Linked DNA regions of Arabidopsis thaliana. Each later gene encodes a partner of the first gene's protein in a complex. Each region holds a gene or a part of one and is shown in the gene's direction. Other genes may lie near its edges.

Region 1 (5,274 bases):
GAGGTGCATTGAAGCCAACTGATGTGGAAACGTTGTGGGTTCATGTGACATGTGCTTGGTTTCAGCCTGAAGTATGTTTTGCAAGTGAGGAAAAAATGGAACCTGCAGTTGGGATTTTGAGTATTCCATCAACTAATTTTGTGAAGGTAAATTTAATATTAACTTATTGTCTTTAATTTTGGACCTTTCCATAACTGTCTGCGACCAAAGCTAAATTGCATGAAATCTTCTTCGTTTTGATGGATTTCAGATATGTGTAATATGCAAACAAATACATGGCTCGTGTACTCAGTGTTGCAAGTGTTCTACATACTATCATGCCATGTGTGCCTCCCGAGCTGGTTATAGAATGGAGGTATGCTTACTGTTTGACTGTTTCTGATCTTTCTTCATGAGATCAGACGACACTGACTTTTTCTATACATGCTTTTGAACTAACTGGAACGATCTTTTTTATATAGTCGTATAAAGTGAAACTGGTTTCCGATAGATAATGTGTTTTTAATCTTTACTTAAAGGAACTTGAGTTTTTTTTTTCCTTTGCAATTTATTATCTTACTCCATTTAAATAGGCATATTTCCATGCATTTTGTATGTAGTTGCACTGCTTGGAGAAAAATGGTCAGCAGATAACAAAGATGGTGTCCTATTGTGCTTATCACAGGTGAAATTTCTCAGAACTCTGCTTAAAGAATTTTTGGTGTTACGATGTTGGTTTATGATTTATAAGTTTTATCTATTGTTTTTGGTGTGTAGGGCTCCCAACCCAGATAACGTGTTAATTATACAAACTCCTTCAGGAGCCTTCTCTGCAAAGAGTCTTGTCCAAAACAAGAAGAAAGGTGGTTCCAGGCTTATTTCATTAATCAGAGAAGACGATGAAGCACCTGCAGAGAATACCATTACATGTGATCCATTTTCTGCTGCTCGTTGTCGAGTATTTAAAAGAAAGATCAATAGCAAGAAGGTAATATTGGGTCTTATCCACAAAAAGTCTGTATGTTTCGTTGCACATCTCCTTTGTCCAGTAGGCTGATCTTTGTTTTGTAGAGGATTGAAGAAGAAGCCATTCCTCACCACACAAGGGGACCACGCCATCATGCATCAGCAGCAATCCAAACTTTAAACACATTCAGAGTAAGAAAGTCTCCATGCAGTTCTTCTACTCCGTTTCTTACTATTATTTTTTGGATCTGACATTTCTGGGTTGTATTATGTGTAGCATGTGCCAGAAGAACCCAAATCGTTTTCTTCTTTCAGGGAACGACTTCACCACTTGCAGGCAAGAATTCTCTGATGTTTGAACGAGATTGGAATGTTCAGGTTTTATTTTTTGATATTATCGGCTGTAACATGTGTATGTTTAATGTAACAGAGGACAGAAATGGATCGGGTCTGCTTTGGGCGATCTGGAATTCATGGATGGGGTCTTTTTGCAAGAAGAAATATCCAAGAAGGAGAAATGGTATGTCAGCAGACCCATTTGTGATATTGTGTTTGGTCTATTTGGGATGAGGGGAGTGTTTATTGTCGAGAGGTGCTATTGTATTTCAGGTTCTTGAATACAGAGGGGAACAGGTGAGAGGTAGCATTGCAGACTTGAGAGAAGCACGTTATCGCAGAGTAGGAAAGGATTGCTATGTGAGTTGAAAAAGTTTCCATTTTATCTTCACAAATTGTCTCTTCTCTCTCTATCTCTCTTAACCAAAAGAAGGATTTATGTTGCAGCTTTTCAAGATCAGTGAAGAAGTAGTGGTTGATGCTACAGATAAAGGGAATATAGCTCGGCTCATCAATCATTCGGTAAGCTGCTTGGCATGGACTTTTTACGTACAAGAAATTTGACAGACTGTTAAAGCCTAAATCAAAATACGTGGTGTGTAGTGTACACCAAACTGCTATGCGAGGATTATGAGTGTAGGAGATGAGGAAAGCAGGATTGTCCTGATAGCCAAGGCCAATGTAGCTGTGGGAGAGGAGTTAACGTACACAACGCATTTCTATATATACCATTCTTCAATCTAAAGCTGATTGATTGTCATAGTTTAAGAAATGTTGTGTGGTGTTTTGGCAGGTATGATTACTTATTTGATCCAGACGAGGCAGAGGAACTCAAGGTGCCATGCTTATGTAAAGCCCCTAACTGCAGGAAATTCATGAATTAGAATAGAAAGGTATAGATCCTCTAAGTTTACTTCACAGGCTACAACACCAAGAAGAAAAGGCCAAAGCAAGATTGTCTCTTTTTGCTCCAAAAACAATAGATTTATAGGTAGAGAGAAAAGCTAAGTGATCCAAGTCTGATCTCTTCTGCCTCTCTGTATAGACAAACTCGTTTGTGTCACCATTATCCTCAAAAGAATTCAATTTCATTCATTTTGTTCATTTCAACGAGACTTGAGCAGAAAACTTGGGATAATTCCAACTGTTGTGACCGTTTTACCCTATAACCATCGGTTTACTACGGTTATACCGCGAAGGTGATGAGTCAATTCAATTGGGAATTGATTTTCCTTTCGCGCCGGTTTATGAATCGTGCTTTCGTCAAGTGCCATGTCAGACGAATTGTAGTTTGCTGCTGATAAAAGATCTCGTAATGGTTTTCTTAAAACACTTTTAAGCGTTTTTGACGGCCCAATTGATGCGAATATGGATTGACTCTTATCTATACTTCAGATATGTTCAAAGCCACACAAGGTAAATTGCATAACGGATAACAATTCCCATAAGAAAAAATGTTTCGGTGTCAAACTGTATATGAGCAATTCTGAAACATTCTAAAGATTTTGTGGTTATGTGTTAAACTTAAAGCATTTGATAGAGAGATATTTTTCAAAGAAATAGGAAAAAATAATGTTACAATCCTCCACATTAATGTTTACAATCCGTCCATCTGTACTTGACATGTCGGATCATAATCCAAGATAATGGGAATACAGATATAAGTTAAAAATGAATTCACTCATAGAAACTTGGAAGGCTATATTCGTCAATATAAAAGAGCATCCTTTAAATAGCTGCACACTGGTACAGTGGTTCTACTATTGAGTGAAAAAAAAAAAAAACTAAAGGCACGAATAATTTTTGTCTAATCAAAATTATTTAAATTGCTGCTATTTAAGATAACGATGAACGGTGACGAAACAAAGAAGGTGGAGAGCGAGTACATCAAGAAACACCATAGACACGAGCTTGTAGAGTCTCAATGTAGCTCTACGCTCGTTAAGCACATCAAAGCTCCTCTGCATCTCGTAAGCTTTGCTTTGCTCTGTTTTTCAAGTGTTAAAGATAACGATTTTTGAGATGTTAAATGATTTGTTTTGTTTGGAAAAGGTGTGGTCAATTGTGAGGAGATTCGATGAACCACAAAAATACAAACCATTTATCAGTAGGTGTGTGGTACAAGGTAAGAAGCTGGAGGTTGGTAGCGTAAGAGAAGTGGATTTGAAATCTGGATTACCAGCTACTAAAAGCACTGAGGTATTAGAGATTCTTGACGACAATGAGCATATTCTCGGCATCAGAATAGTTGGTGGTGATCATAGACTCAAGGTAAATTGAAATTTCCTTAAATGTACCATTCATTCCGACAAGATTATTGTTTTTTTTAGAGCTTAATTTGTTATTTGTCCAATCAGAATTATTCTTCAACCATTTCGTTACATTCGGAGACGATAGACGGAAAAACAGGGACATTGGCTATAGAATCGTTCGTGGTGGATGTGCCGGAAGGTAACACAAAGGAGGAGACATGCTTCTTCGTGGAGGCTTTGATTCAATGCAATCTCAATTCTTTAGCAGATGTTACCGAGCGTCTACAAGCAGAATCTATGGAGAAGAAGATATGAGATGTGACTTGAGAATCTTTTCATTCGGAAAAGAAGGAAAAAGACCAAAGAAGAGAAATAACTCTTCCCTTTTATAGCAATGTCTATGTTTTTTCTTCTTCTATTTCCATTTTCTGAATGTTTGTATATTATTGGAAGTTTGTAACGAAATGATTTCGAATAGCTGTCAAACGAGAAATATAAATTCAAATTTGTAAGTGTTTATATGAAATGCTTTTTTATTTTTAACATTTCCACATGAAAATATAAATAACATATCATGACACATGCAAAATCATATTTATGAAAGTTTTTTCAACTCTCTCCATTTTTTCGACATATCAGCATTAGATAGAGTGACACTTATCACATCAACATATGAATTACATTTCTTATTTAATTTAATGTATTTAAGAATTTATAATCATGCATTAATTCTTTCTAAATTTTTTGACATGTTTGAACTTATTAATTAAATAATTTCAATTTAATTAGGTACAAAGTATATCAAACTCACATAAATAACTTATTTAAATTAAATTATATAAATCGTATAAACTTATGTATAAACATAAAATTAATAGAATTTTAATGAACTTTTAGATTTGATTAAAGTATAAAAATTAAATAATATGATATAAGAATTTATTTCATGTTTTCATATACTAATATATATATATATATATATATATATAAAAGATTAATAACAATTGATATTAGTTAAATTTACGGTTTAGTTTAAGGTAAACCCAAGATGCTCTCATCTGGAATTCTGTTATGATCTGTACGTCCTCAAAGTTCCAGAGATGTTGAGAAAGATCAAACATCAGCAGCGTCAGAGGCTTTTTCTCTGGAGAGGTGATGTTGAATGGCTCTATGCGCTGCTCGGAGAGCAAAAGAGTCTTGAAGAAGACTCTAGCAAATCCATATTGGCATCTAAGCTTGATCTTTGTGTTCCTGTTATGAAACACAGAATCTAGACTGAGACTGAAGTTGGATACCTCAGCTTTGGGATGGAGAATACCGGAACTCTTGGCCGGAGTAAGAGGATGGAAAGCATGCTGAAGATGAGCAAGAGCGTTCCAAGAAAGACTATGACGAAGAAAACAAATCAGAAATATACTAAGTATGAGTTGTTTCAAAGAACGTAGTAATGGTTTATAATAATATTAACAATAGAATAAAATAAATAGTAATGGTTTAAGAAAATATTAATAATAGTGAGCAAAAGCTAAGCAAAATATAAGCAAAACATAATAACATAGTCAAAATAATATGGAAATGACAAGTATATAAATTATATGTTAAAAGTTAAGAAATTGACTTGGAGGTTTGTGTTGGGATTTTCCCTTAACTTAAATAAAGGTTTTAAATGTGAACAAAAAAAGTTTGAAGTTTTAGTTGGGAAAATGTTTTGATTTGGAGGTTTGTTTTGGAATTTTTTCAC
Region 2 (7,384 bases), on another chromosome or scaffold:
TAAATCCTGTTGAAAAGAAAACCATGGCCAATGGTTAGAAGAGAGTTGAGATTACCTGTCAGAGTCAATGGAGTTTGTTGAGTTGTACAACAAAGAAGAGAGATTTTGTTGTCTGGAAAGTTTATGACGGTGACTCGCGGATCTGCTTTTTAAAAGCTTACCTTTGGTCACAACAAAGACGGCACAAGTCTCTGGAGTCGTCTTAAGCAGAGTGGTTGGTACATCTGGACTCTGAAACTTTCTGATCACAAAGAAAAATTGAATGTTAGCATTTTGTATAACCAAAGTTGAGATGATACCAAGCATGAAACAGAGAAGAGGAGAGAGACTTAAGGAAGGAATTGCGTGCAGATGCGCCAACAACAAGATTTGCAATGTAATAATTGTTGGTGATGTAGTTGACAATAGCATTGGAGATGTCAATATCATGAAGAATAACCTCTTTTGCTATGATCTGAAAAGTGTGTATATACAAGAATGTCATGATCATATTTGATGCATTATAAGTGTGAAATGTTGTTGCAAGGAGATTGGAAATGATCGATTAATACTAACTCCTTTTCGAGCGCAGAATCCTCTGAAAGGAAGAAAGAATTCATGTGCCTCGTCCGGATTGTCCTGATGAAAATGTCCTCCTGTGTCTCCTACTGCAAAACATACTCCTAATTAGGGTGGCTCTTTGACGTTTTGGTTTCAATGATGAAGAGAAGAGCGAGAGATGCTTACGTTGAACGTGGATAAGGACACATTGTGGAGCATCAGCAACAATATTTTCAACGGCCCATTTCAAGGCGTGTTGGCTGTTCTTGTCCTTATCAATGGCGATCGCCGTGATACTGCCATAGTCCTCCGAGGTCCTTCTAACTCTTCTTGCAGACATGTTAGAATCTTGCTTCCCAAGAAACATGAATAACCTGCTTCACAAGGAAACTATAATACTCATAAATGATCTCATGTCTTCTTTGTCACAAAACACCCACAACCAAGATCGATTGTGTTGTTTTTCTTTTGTCTGGCTTTGCAACCTCAGAGAAGAAACAATGAACAATGAAAAGAAACAGAAAATTGTATTGTGAGATGATGAAGCTTTTAGTGGTTTTACAATTTTTCTAATTTTGGAGGGTTTATTTCTCAAACAACTCAACAGTCTTGTGAAACAAACAAACAAGAATGGAAATTTCCACAAGTCTCAACTTATCTTTAATTAGAGAGTGATTTTTGGGAAGTTGCTGGTGAGATCTAGTTTGTACTATAATGTACGCGTTTCGATTAAAATAAAATTCGATTATACATTATCAAAATATTAAATCGATTATTTTATCTTAATCAGTAAAACAAAGTTTTTAGATAAAAATATTAGTAAAACTAGTCAAACATATGGTTTAGTCTTTTAGGTTTATATAGACTAGAGGTTGAACCAAAAAAGAGAGTAAAATAGACTAGAGAATAGAATGTTATGTTTAAACATGATCACACATCTCAATTTACACACATTTACTTAATTTGAGTTTCGATAATAATGCAACAGCAATATATGTATCTACGAATTTGAAATTTATGAGTACAAAATCTAGAGGTGTAACAAAATATTTATTATTTTCGTCCCTGATCAATCAGAGTAGCCACGTGGGCGGGTGGTAGAAATCGAAATTATTGCGATTATTGACTTGGAAAAAAACAAACACACGTTGCATTTTTTGATTTACGTATCCAAAAAGAACAAAGAAAAAAAGGTAAACGACCAAATAATATAATTTTCTGGGGCTGTCGTCTTCCATCTTTATTTCTTCTTGGCGATATCACCATATCTTATACGTCTCTCGAAAGATTATTACTCTTAAGACGATTCCATTAAACACTGATTGTGAGAACTTGTACTTTAACGTTATCGAAAAGTATACATAAATATTTTTATTTTTTTAGGCTGATTCATTCTTACTGATAACAATAATTTTGTGTTATTCTTTCTTACCTAGAGAGTTCTATAGACAAGTTCGTAACTATAAAACCAATCTTTATTTCTTACTCATAGCTTTCAAAACTAAAACTTGATCAGTTTAAATAAAATATATGGGAAATTTTTGCTGAACCAATATATTACGTGTCAAGATTTCATTGATCCTATTAATACAATTTATTCATTTTACAGTTATATCAAATACAAATTACAACTAAGATACTCACTTATCTACACGTCAGATTGTACAACTAAGATACTCACTTATCTATATCTAATTTTCGTGGTTAATATTACATGTCAAAATTTTATGGAAATAATTAGTGTTTTTCTACTTTATATAAATTTTTATGATATATTTTTTTTTTAAAAAAAGGAAAGAGAAAGAAATCAATTTCCATTTGTAAACATATTTTTGGTTCTGAAAATAAATAAATGGGAAAAAAAGGAATTAAATAACATCTGTTGTTGTTAGCTGATCGACAGGTGTTGCCTGAAGCGACCTTAAAAAAAGAAAAAGGACAAAAAGTTGAAGAAAAAAAGAGGACAAAGTTCACAAAATGATACAAAGACTAATACGTGTCCTTTTATTAATCCTCTTTTGTAATAAATACTCTTTTTTCCTATAAATTATATTACAAAACCAAAGAAAAAAAGGAATAAAAAAAAACAGAGAGAAAAAGCAAACCACACAATATTCTCTTCTCTCTCTCTTTGTTTCGCTGATAGAGAGAGCCTCTCTCTAAGCAATTTAGCTCGAGCGAGAAATAATCCTGAGGGAAGAAAATAAAAAGAAGAAGAAGAAGAAGAACATCTTTACTTTTGTTCTCTCTCTCTCTTCTGTTCGATTTTAATTTTTTTGCAGATGCGAATATCTTCTAAAGATTCATCAACTGGTTAGTTCTTTCTCTCTTCTTTTTTCTTTCCTGATTTTTTTATGTTGTTTTTCTGTGTAGTTAGCTTTTCAATCGGAAGATTTTTGCTATTATGTGTCGAATCTCTCTTGTTGTTTTGAGCTTTGTGTTTAGTTTTGCTTAAGAACAAAGTTTAAATTCATCTTTCTATTTCTGGGTAAAGCTAAAGCTTCTTTTTTAATTTAGATCCAAGGAAACCCATGTTCTACTATATGATTATGGACGTTAATGGTTCGAATTTTTTAGGGCTTTCTTGTGATTGATTTCGCTGATTTTCCCTCCTTTTTCTGGTTTTTGTGTGAATTTTCTTTGACATGACCGTTTGGATAATGATTCGTGAGTTTTTGATTAGTGCTTTGTGATCTCTCAATAGGGTTGAAATCAAGATAAGGATTTGAGAAAAGATCGACGAAGTTGTTGCGATTTTGGGATCAAGAGAGTGATATAATCGAGTGAGGAGAATTCGTCGTATAGATTCGTCAGATCTGGTTATCTCCGGTACTTAATTCTCCTTGATTCGTCGTTTTAACTATGCTAAGTTAGTGTATGAATAAAGCGGCATTTGGGTCGCTGACAAAAACTTATTTGGAGCAAGGATTCTTCAACATCATGAAACCATTGCTTAGAGTATTCGAAGAAGAAGATGAAAACAATTGATTTCTCCTAAGTCCATCTTTGAAATTTAAAGCTTTGTTGTGGTGTGGTGTGGAAATCTCTGATTTTGGAGAGCTCATGGAGGAGATGACTCCCGCAGTTGCAATGACTCTTAGCTTAGCAGCCAACACCATGTGTGAATCATCACCTGTCGAGATCACTCAGCTAAAGAACGTTACTGATGCAGCTGACTTGTTATCTGATTCTGAAAATCAAAGCTTTTGCAACGGAGGGACTGAATGCACTATGGAAGATGTTTCTGAACTGGAAGAGGTAGGTGAACAGGATTTGTTGAAAACTTTATCCGATACGAGAAGCGGGTCTTCCAATGTTTTTGATGAAGACGATGTATTGTCTGTTGTGGAGGATAATAGTGCTGTCATAAGTGAGGGCTTGTTAGTTGTTGATGCAGGCTCTGAATTAAGCTTGTCTAATACAGCTATGGAAATAGATAACGGGCGAGTTCTTGCAACCGCGATTATCGTAGGCGAATCAAGCATTGAGCAGGTTCCCACCGCGGAAGTTCTTATCGCGGGTGTAAATCAGGATACCAATACTTCGGAGGTTGTCATTAGATTGCCAGATGAAAATAGTAATCATCTGGTGAAAGGGAGAAGTGTTTATGAACTAGATTGTATACCGCTTTGGGGCACGGTTTCCATTCAAGGGAATAGATCTGAGATGGAGGATGCTTTTGCCGTGTCACCTCATTTTCTGAAACTACCCATCAAAATGCTTATGGGGGACCATGAGGGTATGAGTCCAAGCCTCACACACCTCACCGGTCATTTTTTCGGTGTTTATGATGGTCATGGAGGCCATAAGGTATGCTATATTCACATTTTATGTAAGTTGTTTTAGCAATGTAGATTGTTATACACCTCTTTGAGATGTTCTGGTTAAATTCATAGATTTTAAATCTACAATGGCTTGTAGGTTGCTGACTATTGCCGAGATAGACTCCATTTTGCTTTGGCTGAAGAAATAGAACGTATAAAAGACGAATTATGCAAGAGGAATACAGGAGAGGGTAGGCAGGTGCAGTGGGATAAAGTCTTCACGAGTTGTTTTCTAACTGTCGATGGTGAGATTGAAGGAAAAATTGGTAGAGCCGTTGTTGGTTCTTCTGATAAGGTTCTTGAGGCTGTTGCGTCTGAGACCGTAGGATCAACTGCTGTTGTTGCCTTGGTTTGCTCATCACATATAGTAGTTTCTAACTGCGGTGATTCGAGGGCGGTTTTATTCCGTGGCAAAGAAGCCATGCCCTTGTCAGTTGATCACAAAGTAAAATGAACTTCCTTTTCTTTCCCCAATCTAACTTACAAAGTTGATAAAAGTGTTTTCTTACCTCCTTCCATTTTTCTGCAGCCAGATAGAGAGGATGAATATGCAAGAATAGAAAATGCTGGAGGCAAAGTTATACAATGGCAAGGCGCACGTGTTTTTGGTGTTCTCGCCATGTCTAGGTCCATCGGTAAGCATTGCTTCTTTTGATGACCAGTAATGCACATCACACAAACGTGGCTTGATAATGTAATTACTCCCCTACATGAAACATTAGATCCTCCGGTTTCTTTCCTCCTCTGGAACTATGCAGGTGACAGATATCTGAAGCCATATGTGATCCCAGAACCGGAAGTGACATTCATGCCTCGGTCAAGAGAAGACGAGTGTCTCATACTAGCCAGTGACGGTCTTTGGGATGTAATGAACAACCAAGAAGTCTGCGAAATAGCAAGGAGACGGATATTGATGTGGCACAAGAAGAACGGTGCACCGCCTCTAGCAGAGAGAGGCAAAGGAATAGATCCAGCTTGCCAAGCCGCAGCTGACTACCTCTCAATGCTTGCTCTACAAAAAGGAAGTAAAGACAACATCTCCATCATTGTGATTGACTTGAAAGCTCAAAGAAAGTTCAAGACCAGAACCTGAAGCTTAATTACAAGCAGTACGCTTACTTACTTTTTTTTTTACTGGGGGTAAGTTTCGAGTTTTCGTATAATTTAGATCGTTAAGGATCTAATTTCGACAGGTTTTTACATGTTAATTACTCAATATTGTTAGAAGGGAGAAAAAATAAAGAAAAAAAATGGAAATGCGGGTTGGGGAGGAGAAGTAAAGACTAAAGACTGAAGATTAAGAAGATGATGCATAGCTAATTATAAGTACATTCCTTTTTTTCTCATGGTACTTGAATTCGTATGTATAAGAAGAAATAGGCAGAGAAATGCTTTTTTTTTTTGGGGTATTGAAATAGTTGAATATGTTGTAATAGTTTGAGAGATGTGGCAAATGAAATTGTAATTGAAACTATGTCACATTAACCTTCTTGCATTTGTCTTTTCATGTTGTGTTCTTCGCTGTTCTATAACTTAACGGTGAGATGAGAGTTTATTGGGGGTTTAACCACAGGTCGATTTTTATTTTGATGTTAAGTATTGATAAAGCAATACACTTAGCAAAAGGTGGACGTGCCGGAGTGGTTATCGGGCATGACTAGAAATCATGTGGGCTTTGCCCGCGCAGGTTCGAATCCTGCCGTTCACGTTTTTCATTTTTTTTTCTGTTATCATCACATTTTCCATAACTTACCTTAATCATCTAACATTTTAGAGTCTTTACGAAATGTTAATATTTCTTTTCTTAAATTGAGTAGAAATAGAAATCAACCTCATACCTACAAATGTGGAAGTGACGTGTGAAACCGTAAGTGTATTTAAATCAAACTTAGAAAGCTGTTAATCATTGGCACCACATAAAATCTAGCTTGTGAGAGAAAGTTTATCGTTTTTAGATAAGTTATCAAGATAACAAGACTTGATTAGATTATAGTATGTTGCCTTTGACGGTTTGGCCTGGCCATTTGTAAAAGCCACGACAACACCGGCTCTCATATAATTATTAAAAGACTAATTAGTAATCACGGCCTCAGCTTCACATAGAAAACGTGTTTATTAACACGTTAGACATATGATTCCGTTGAACAATTTTGATTATTTGACGTACCAATCTGTATTTGCTTCATGTAATCCAGCTGTATTAGTAGGCCTTTCTTTGTATTTCCCATTTCCAACTTTCACAAGCAAATACCACCATTTTCCAGCTTGTCTAACAAGTTATTAAAATAAAAATAAAAAATTCCCCCAAAAAAATCATGTGTCAATTGAACCTTCTCTTAGGCATGACCGTATGACCAAAGTTTGGTTCGGATTTTAAAAGATCAAGATTTGACAATTCTATAAAAAAAAAATTTGGGTGTAAATGTCATTTGTCTAGAGTATGGTTAAGATACTAGAACCTTTTTCTTTACAAGTTCAAAATTCAGAATTAAAAAAATGTAAGATTTTCAGAGTTTGTGGACATCAAATTATCAGGTAATATGGATAGTTTGTGAAAATTGCAATATCTATCTATACAACTAATCATTGTGAAACATACATTTAGGACTAGGGAGTTAGATACTGTTGTGTTGCCGAGACTCAAACTCAAGAACTGGTCAGATGTACCGAGTAAAGTTGTATATAGTCAACTAGTACATATTTGAACATTATACAATTAATTCAGATATCCTCTACGTAAAATGCGCAATGTATTTTCATGTAATAAATAAATATATATGCAAATTGATGAATTTGACATAGATATTCAACTAAATACGTCAATTATCCGATTGCTTGTCTCCTATAAAAAATCTCTAAAATACTCCAAAGACATATTTTTTGTTGTAAAAAATGTGTAAATTAAAGTAAGAATCCACAGAAAGAAAAAAAAACAAATAAAAATGACCAAATCCAAGTCCCCAAGCATTTTAAAAAACAAATATCAATCCAAGCAAAAGCATAAAAGCAAACACATTACA

What was found. The genes of interacting proteins can lie anywhere in the genome.
Region 2: the proteins of PYL10 (region 1) and HAB1 are in contact, whole or in part, in a crystal structure (PDB 3RT0), measured with the Arabidopsis thaliana proteins. Residues at the interface, in NP_194521.2 of Arabidopsis thaliana: Pro57 (codon at 3,379), Phe58 (codon at 3,382), Ser60 (codon at 3,388), Arg61 (codon at 3,391), Asp78 (codon at 3,442), Leu79 (codon at 3,445), Lys80 (codon at 3,448), Ser81 (codon at 3,451), Gly82 (codon at 3,454), Leu83 (codon at 3,457), Pro84 (codon at 3,460), Ala85 (codon at 3,463), Thr86 (codon at 3,466), Arg112 (codon at 3,544), Leu113 (codon at 3,547), Pro144 (codon at 3,726), Asn147 (codon at 3,735), Glu151 (codon at 3,747), Thr152 (codon at 3,750), Phe154 (codon at 3,756), Phe155 (codon at 3,759), Ala158 (codon at 3,768), Leu159 (codon at 3,771), Asn165 (codon at 3,789); in NP_001185385.1 of Arabidopsis thaliana: Arg199, Ser200, Glu201, Glu203, Gly244, His245, Gly246, Gly247, Glu323, Thr324, Lys381, Ile383, Gln384, Trp385, Gln386, Arg389, Phe391, Gly392, Val393, Leu394, Tyr404.

What each region holds. Positions count from the first base shown.
Region 1 is NC_003075.7:13,898,092-13,903,365, forward strand, and holds PYL10 (PYR1-like 10), read left to right. Parts: upstream 1-3,050; 5' UTR 3,051-3,128; coding exon 3,129-3,251; intron 3,252-3,333; coding exon 3,334-3,552; intron 3,553-3,638; coding exon 3,639-3,848; 3' UTR 3,849-3,909; downstream 3,910-5,274. Other genes in the region: SDG16 (SET domain protein 16), read left to right, coding at 1-146, 251-355, 600-664, 757-967, 1,051-1,137, 1,223-1,282, 1,376-1,465, 1,555-1,641 and 3 more. UniProt on the Arabidopsis thaliana protein: Receptor for abscisic acid (ABA) required for ABA-mediated responses such as stomatal closure and germination inhibition.
Region 2 is NC_003070.9:27,387,395-27,394,778, forward strand, and holds HAB1 (HYPERSENSITIVE TO ABA1), read left to right. Parts: upstream 1-2,553; 5' UTR 2,554-2,853; intron 2,854-3,244; 5' UTR 3,245-3,603; coding exon 3,604-4,350; intron 4,351-4,461; coding exon 4,462-4,809; intron 4,810-4,893; coding exon 4,894-4,999; coding exon of another isoform or gene 5,000-5,019; exon of another isoform or gene 5,020-5,122; coding exon 5,123-5,457; 3' UTR 5,458-5,933; downstream 5,934-7,384. Other genes in the region: AT1G72760 (Protein kinase superfamily protein), read right to left, coding at 56-241, 330-454, 556-647, 727-907. UniProt on the Arabidopsis thaliana protein: Key component and repressor of the abscisic acid (ABA) signaling pathway that regulates numerous ABA responses, such as stomatal closure, seed germination and inhibition of vegetative growth. Confers enhanced sensitivity to drought.